Linked DNA regions of Sus scrofa. The protein of the gene in region 1 purifies or fractionates together with the protein of each later gene. This does not show direct contact. Links are inferred from orthologs where the notes say so. Each region holds a gene or a part of one and is shown in the gene's direction. Other genes may lie near its edges. The genes, in order: MAP3K2 and TRAF7.

Region 1 (3,810 bases):
CTAAAGCCTCCCAGTCATGAACTAGGATTCCCCAAATTAAAATGTCTAATTATAAAATAAATCATGAGAGTGTAACATATACCATAATGAATATAATAAAAAATACTGTAATAAATTTGTACAGAGGTAGGAGGTTATTAGACTCATCATGGTGATAATTGTGTAATGTATTTAAATGTCATATGACTGGTATACACCTGAAACTGACATGACATTGTACGTCAACTAAACTTCAATTAAAAATAAATAAAATAGGGAGTTCCCGTCATGGCTCAGTGGCTAGTGAATCCGACTAGGAGCCATGAGGTTACTGTTCGATCCCTGGCCTTGCTCAGTGGGTTAAGTGTCCGGCATTGCTCTGAGCTGTGGTGTAGGTTGCAGACGCAGCTCGGATCCCGTGTGGCTGTGGCTGTGGCTGTCGCTGGCAGCTACAGCTCCGATTAAACCCCTAGCCAGGAAACCTCCATATTCCACAGGTGCAGCCCTAGAAAAGGCAAAAAGACAAAAATAAGTAAATAAATAAATAAATAAATAAAATAGCTCCTACTGTGGTGTGGTGGGTTAAGGGCCCGGCATTATCTCTGTGGCAGCACAGGTTCAGTCCCCAGCCCGGCACAGTGGGTTACAGATCCAACATTGCCCAGCTGTGGCATAGGTTTATTTAGTCAGTGAGAGTAATAAATAAATAAACACACACAAGTCTTTAAAAATAAAAATTTACTGGTAGTTTTCATTTCAAACCATACTATAGTTTTTTGTTTTCTTTTATCCAGGGTTCAATTAAGGACCAATTAAAAGCATATGGAGCTCTTACTGAGAACGTGACTAGGAAATACACCCGTCAGATTCTGGAGGGTGTCCATTATTTGCACAGTAATATGATTGTTCATAGAGATATAAAAGGTAAGTAATGAACTATTTTTTTAAATGAGCTATTTTTAAAAAAATATACAGCATTCTCTATCTCTTTTTTTAAAATGGCTGCATCCACAGCATATGGAAATTCTTGGGCCAGGGATTATATCTGAGCCACAGCTGTGCCCTACACCACAGCTATGACTACACCAGATACTTAACCCACTGTGCCAGGTTGGGGATCAAATCCATAAAGACAATACTGGATCCTTGAGCTGCTGTAGGGAACTCCAGCAGCTCACTCTCTCTTTTTTTTTTTTTTTTTTTTTTTTTTTTTTTTGCTTTTTCAGTGCTGCACCTGTAGCATATGGGAGTTCTCAGGCTAGGGGTTGAATTGTAGCTGCAGCTGCCAGCCTACACCACAGCCATAGCAATGCGGGATCCAAGCCACGTGTGCAATTGATACCACGGCTCACGGCAGTGCAGGATCCTTAACACACTGAGCAAGGCTAGGGATCAAACTTGTGTCCTCATGGATCCTAGTCGGCTTTGTTAAACTCTGAGCCATGAAGGGAACTCCCTCTTTTTTTTTTTTTTAATGAAACATGGTTAAGAAATTGGACATTTGAATTAATACATCTACCTTTAAAATACTGTAGGAAGACAGTTCCAACTAGTCCTGATGATCAGGGTTCCACAGGAGGGAAACTACCCTGTGGGGTTCACAGGTTTAGTAAAGTTCAAATGATTATAAAAAAAGAGACATGTTTTCATCCAGAGAGCACAGGTATTAGCATATAATGCTTAAGAATAGGGCCCCTGAGGAGCTCCAGCTGTGGCGCAGTGGGATTGGAGGCATCTTGGGAGCTCTGGGTCTGGCACAGTGGGTTAAGGATCTGGCGTTTCTGTAGCTGTGGTTTGGGTCGCAGCTGTGACTCAGACCTGGCCCGAGAGCTCCATATGCCACAGGGCAGCCAAAAATGGGGAGAAAAAAAAAGTAGGGTCTCTGATACCACATAGCCTGGTTTAAATTCAGGCTTTATCTCTCCCTAACTGTGAGACATCTTCTGTGCCTCAGTTCCTCATTTTTAAGGAGGGAAATAACAGTGTACAGCTCAGAGGATTCCTATAAGAATTAAATGAGTTGGAGTTCCTGTTGTGGCTCAGCAGGTTAAGGACTTCTTGACATAGTGTCTGTGATAATGTGGGTTAAATCCCTGGTCTCGCTCAGTGGGTTAAGGATCTGGCCTTGCCGCAGGCTGTGACATAGGTTGCAGATGAGGCTCTGTGGCTGTGTCTGTGGTGTAGGCTGGCAGCTGCAACTCCAATTTAACCCTTAGCCCAGGAATTTCCATATACCGCAGGTACAGCCTTAAAAAAAAAAAAATTAAATGAGTTAATGCATATAGTATGCTTAATACCATGCCTGGTATCTAGAAAGCACTCAAAAGTTAGTTACAATCATGATGTACTTTATGTTGAGAGCATTTTTAAAGCTGTGGGATGGATATCATTACCTAAGGAGAGAATAAAAAGAGAGCCCAAGACTGAGCTTTGATGAATTCCAGCTCAGTTAAGCTCACTTTTTAAAACTCAGCTGTTTTCATGGATCAAACATAAAGTGACTGCATGAAGCAAGACAAAATTGATTGGTAGAGATGTGTGAATTTAAGAGTCTTAAAACTCTGTTCTCCAAAGCATACCGGGAGGCTTCATTCTGTAAAAACCAGGTTGTGACCCAAATGTTATGATTACTTTATTTGGGAGTTCCCATCATGGCGCAGCAATTAAACCCATGAGAACTTGGGTTTGATTCCTGGCCTCGCTCAGTGGGTTAAGGATCTGGCATTGCCGTGAGCTGTGGTGTATGTTGCACATGCAGCTCGGATCCTGTGTTGCTGTGGCGTAGGCTGGCGGCTGCAGCTCCGATTGGAACCCCTGGCCTGGGAACCTCCACATGCCATGGATGTGGCCCTAAAAAGACGAAAAAAAAAAAAAATCACTTTATTCAATCAGTTGTTGAGAATAATGAACAAATACACACACACAATAAATTTAAAACTTCTTTCCATTAGCCTTCCTGGGAACTCTTAGGAGCTATCATGAATTTACTCCCTTTTGGTGGTGTGTCACATCCTGAACAAGGCCATATTCAGGCTAAAGAGAACATTCCCAGCCAGTTTCAGTCATAGAGTAGAAACTGCTGCAGAATGCCTGGGCAAGACCCCATGTATAGTGGAGCTGACCGGTGAGTCTTGGAGATGACCACATCACTCATGATCTGAAAAAAAGAGGAGCCTATCTTTCACCTCAAGATCCACCAATTCTTACCAGTTGTCAAGTATAAAACCCAGTAGTTTAAAGAACCATGTAAGGTGGTGACAATTTTGTAATGTATAGAAATACTGAATCACTGTGTTGTGTACCTGGAACTTACATGGTAAAACAAAGAAAAATACATAGGGAAATGATTTTTATTATGAATTAGTCTGTTAGGAATAATCTTTATTCAAACAGTTACTCCCCAACTGGGTTTTTTCACCTTGCCAGTGTGAGGAGGTTGGAAGCAAGGTGATTTATAAACAGTACAGGGCAAGATATATGATAAAAGTGTAAGATATAAAATTAGATGTGCAGTATGACCTCAAGTATTAAAGTATGGCCTAGGAGAAAAATTTCCACATGATTAACAGTGGTTATTTCCAAGTGGCAGGATTAGTGATAATTACTTTTCTCCTGGATACTTTTTACTTTTTCTGTATTTCCTAACTTTTTATGATGAGCAGTTTTTAAATGGCAAAGGAAAAGGAAAACTAGCTGATCACTTTTGTTTAAACCCATGAGTTCATAATGAAACCTAGGATAAAAATTAATTGATCATTTTTGCTAGGGAGCCTACTCATTATTTCATAATAGGGTCCTTTTACTCTGCTTTTATGAGCTGTACTACTGAGG
Region 2 (3,810 bases), on another chromosome or scaffold:
TCCTGGACGAAAACCAGAGCAAGCTCAGTGAGGACCTCATGGAGTTCCGGCGAGACGCGTCCATGCTGAACGTGAGCGGGTGGGGCCGGGCCGGGAGGTGGGGTGACAGACTCAGGACCGGCTCTCACTTGGGTCCCAGCAGGGGGCCTGTGCCCGCTCAGGATTCGGTGTCTGTCCTGGGGAGGGTGGCTCCGCTGCACCTGCCCGTCCCCCGCAGAGCCCAGGCCTGGGGCCCCGGGAGGGTCGTGGGGCCCCGCCCACCCCTTCTCTGCTCTGCTCTGGGCCTCGCAGGACGAGCTGTCCCACATCAACGCGCGGCTGAACACGGGCATCCTAGGATGTGAGTACACGCCTGCCGCTCCCGCTGCTGTCCCGGAGGCCCCCGCGGGCCCCTCACCCATCTCCCTCCCTCTCTGCAGCCTATGACCCGCAGCAGATCTTCAAGTGCAAAGGAACTTTCGTGGGTCACCAGGGCCCGGTCTGGTGCCTCTGCGTCTACTCAGTGGGGGACCTGCTCTTCAGCGGCTCCTCTGACAAGACCATCAAGGTGGGCAGGGTCCTGCCTAGGAGCTTGGCAGCCTGGCAGGGCCGGGGTGGGCAGTGCCCATGGACTGGCTCCCCTCCCCCTACAGCGGCCATCTTTCCTGGCGTGGTGCCCCGTGCCACTGGTCTGACCCTGCTGGGACCTGCCCTGACCCCCGGTCTCTGCAGGTGTGGGACACGTGTACCACCTACAAGTGCCAGAAGACGCTGGAGGGCCACGACGGCATCGTGCTGGCACTCTGCATCCAGGGGTGAGTGCAGGCACGTGTGTCTGCCCACCGCAGGGCTCGCGTGGCGCTTGGGTCTGTGGCCACACGTGCCCTCGAAGGGTGGTGTCTGCCCCTCCTGGGAGACAGCCTGGACACCGAGCAGGGCGGGTGGGCTCACGGGGTGGCAGGATGTGAGCCCTCCGTCCCTGAAGCTGTACATGCCCTGGCCTGGAGTCCCGCAGGGGCAGGGGCCAGAGGTGGGACCAGAGAGGGAGGGGGGGACTCACCACGGCCAACCTGCAACCGAGCCCGGGGCACAGCCCCGCAGAGCAGCCAGCCTGACCCCCCCTTCCCCCCAGGGAGCCCCTTCCAGACATCTCTCCTGTCTCATGTCCTGAGGCTTTGTGTTGTGGGCGTAAGTGTGAGTGTGTGTACGCGTGTCTGAGGGAGCAAGGGAGAGGGAGATGCTGGCTCACAGGAAACAACAGCTTGACTGCCAGCAACACGGGCAGGGTAATTACCTCTCAGCTCAGCTGTCAGACGCTTGCCAGGCAGGCACGGGGCTGGGCCTCCACTTCCAAGGGCCCTTCGCTGAGACGGGAAAACCCAGGCTGGGCTCAAGGACATGGCGGTGGCCCTGGCCCCCCGCCCAAGCTGCTGGTTCCTGGGAGCCAGTGCTCCCTTGGCCTGGCCCGGGCAGCGTCAGCGAGGACGCTGGCTTCTCGCGCCCTGACACCGTGGCTCTGCCTCCCCAGGTGCCGGCTCTACAGCGGCTCTGCAGACTGCACCATCATCGTGAGTGGGGCCGGCGGGCGGCATCCACGCCCCACCCGGACCCGGGAGCCTGGGGCTCACTGTGCCTCCTCCCTCCTGCCAGGTGTGGGACATCCAGAACCTGCAGAAGGTGAACACGATCCGGGCCCACGACAACCCGGTGTGCACGCTGGTCTCCTCGCACAACCTGCTCTTCAGCGGCTCCCTGAAAGCCATCAAGGTGGGGCAAGGGGCGCCAGGCGGGGCGGCGGGTGGCGGCGCCTGCCCTCGCTCGCCCGCCTGCACTCACGGCTGCTCCCCCAGGTCTGGGACATCGTGGGCACCGAGCTGAAGCTGAAGAAGGAGCTCACCGGCCTCAACCACTGGGTGCGGGCCCTGGTGGCCGCCCAGAGCTACCTGTACAGCGGCTCGTACCAGACAATCAAGGTGCGCCCGCCCCGAGCGCCTGCGCCCTGGCAGGCTCCCGGGACTCCACTTGTCCTACCCCGACCCCGCCGGCCCAAGGAGACCCTCACACACACCCCAGGGTGGGCAGTGCTGCTGCCTGCATACAGAGACCCCTGGGGTGAGGCATCTGGGCTGGGACCAAGTGGCCTGTGCTTGCCCCCAGATCTGGGACATCCGGACCCTCGACTGCATCCACGTCCTGCAGACGTCTGGTGGCAGTGTCTACTCGATCGCCGTGACGAACCACCACATCGTCTGTGGCACCTACGAGAACCTCATCCACGTAAGAGCCGGCACCCAGGGCTGGGGCCCAGCTCTGGGCCCATTCCCCCTGCCCCCCACCCCCCGCCCCGGTCTGTGCCTCTGACCCGCCTCTGCCTGCCCACCCCCAGGTATGGGACATCGAGTCCAAGGAGCAAGTGCGAACCCTGACGGGCCACGTGGGCACCGTGTACGCCCTGGCGGTCATCTCCACGCCAGACCAGACCAAAGTCTTCAGTGCGTCCTACGACCGCTCTCTCAGGGTGCGAGCTGGCCTGGCAACAGAGGGGGGCCCAGGGCCGGTGGCCAGGCCGGGGCGGGTCCTCATGTGCCCTGTGCCCCCAGGTGTGGAGCATGGATAACATGATCTGCACGCAGACCCTGCTGCGCCACCAGGGCAGCGTGACAGCCCTGGCTGTGTCCCGGGGCCGGCTCTTCTCGGGAGCCGTGGACAGCACTGTGAAGGTCAGCGCCTCAGTTCGGGCCACCCAGAGGGGCGGCCCGTGCTGAGCAGGGGGAGGTGTTGGGAGCCGGGAGCCCTGGGCGGGTGGCGGGGGACAGCAGGCAGGAATGGCAAGTGGCTCTGGGGCCGGACGCCCAAAGGGGCCCCTGAAACGGAGCCTTTCCTCTGCAGGTTTGGACTTGCTAACAGAACCTGGGCCAGGTCTTGGCTTGCTCTGGGCCCAACCCAGACCAGTCCCAGTCCGGCTGGCCCCATGGTTGGTCTGGGGGTCTCTGCCCACCCTGTGGGGACAGGCAGGCAGACTCAGCCAGGCAGGCAGTGAGTGCCCTCCCTGCCCGGCACCCAGCGAGTCCCCCTCTGCTTGGCCCTGTCATCGTCACTGCCAGGACAGTGCCCAGCCCCTCTCTGGGTGCCAGGTACGACGCTCAGCAGCCCCCCACTCTGTCCTGACTCCAGGTGGACTGTGGGCCTTTTTACTCACCTTTTCTACTGTTTTTAGACTGTATATAGATTTGATTACTTCCTGATTGAAATAAAAGCTGCACAGACTGTGGCTGTGAGTCCGGATGGCCCTTGGGGAGGGAGAGGCCGCCTGAGAACACTGGGGTGCCCGGGCACCAGCAGCCAGTGGGAGGGACCCTGGGGTGGGAGCACCGGAGGCTCCCGGTGACAAGCCCAGGGGGGAAAACGGCCCTCTCTGTGGCGTCTCCTCCCCACCAGGAACAGGCTGGCCTCCCACTTGCCCCAGTGTACACGCCCTCAAAAAGCCAGCCAGGCAGCTCCGTTTTCAGCTGTTTATTGACAGCTGACAGTAGGTCCCTGCCCGAACCCCCCGCCCCACCTGCCTGCCCCCGGGCCACGCGCTGAGGAGGCCAGGGAGATGGCCAGGCGCATCCAGCAGGGAAGGGTCCACAAGTGACCGCTGGAAGGGGCCCCCCCCATGCCCGGACACCACCTCGGCAGACCCCTCTCACTCGCCAGGATCACAGTCACTGGTTTTCGGCGTTTTTTAATTCTTTTTTTTTTTTTTTTTAAGAAATGTCAGAGTTGTGCCCAACACACGTGGGTCATCAGCAAACACGATAGAGGAGACCGATCAGTACTTTTTGGAGC

What was found.
Region 2: the proteins of MAP3K2 (region 1) and TRAF7 purify together in Homo sapiens (affinity purification with mass spectrometry; 3 studies listed by BioGRID and IntAct, with this or other methods). This does not show direct contact. The link is inferred for Sus scrofa from reciprocal best matches to the Homo sapiens genes MAP3K2 and TRAF7.

The regions. Positions count from the first base shown.
Region 1 is NC_010457.5:25,167,224-25,171,033, forward strand, and holds part of MAP3K2 (mitogen-activated protein kinase kinase kinase 2), read left to right. Parts: intron 1-773; coding exon 774-903; intron 904-3,810. UniProt on the Homo sapiens protein: Component of a protein kinase signal transduction cascade. Regulates the JNK and ERK5 pathways by phosphorylating and activating MAP2K5 and MAP2K7. Plays a role in caveolae kiss-and-run dynamics.
Region 2 is NC_010445.4:39,811,243-39,815,052, reverse strand, and holds the end of TRAF7 (E3 ubiquitin-protein ligase TRAF7), read left to right. Parts: coding exon 1-71; intron 72-291; coding exon 292-340; intron 341-419; coding exon 420-547; intron 548-711; coding exon 712-794; intron 795-1,507; coding exon 1,508-1,547; intron 1,548-1,629; coding exon 1,630-1,746; intron 1,747-1,829; coding exon 1,830-1,952; intron 1,953-2,136; coding exon 2,137-2,256; intron 2,257-2,365; coding exon 2,366-2,497; intron 2,498-2,579; coding exon 2,580-2,699; intron 2,700-2,868; coding exon 2,869-2,883; 3' UTR 2,884-3,250; downstream 3,251-3,810. UniProt on the Homo sapiens protein: E3 ubiquitin and SUMO-protein ligase that plays a role in different biological processes such as innate immunity, inflammation or apoptosis. Potentiates MAP3K3-mediated activation of JUN/AP1 and DDIT3 transcriptional regulators.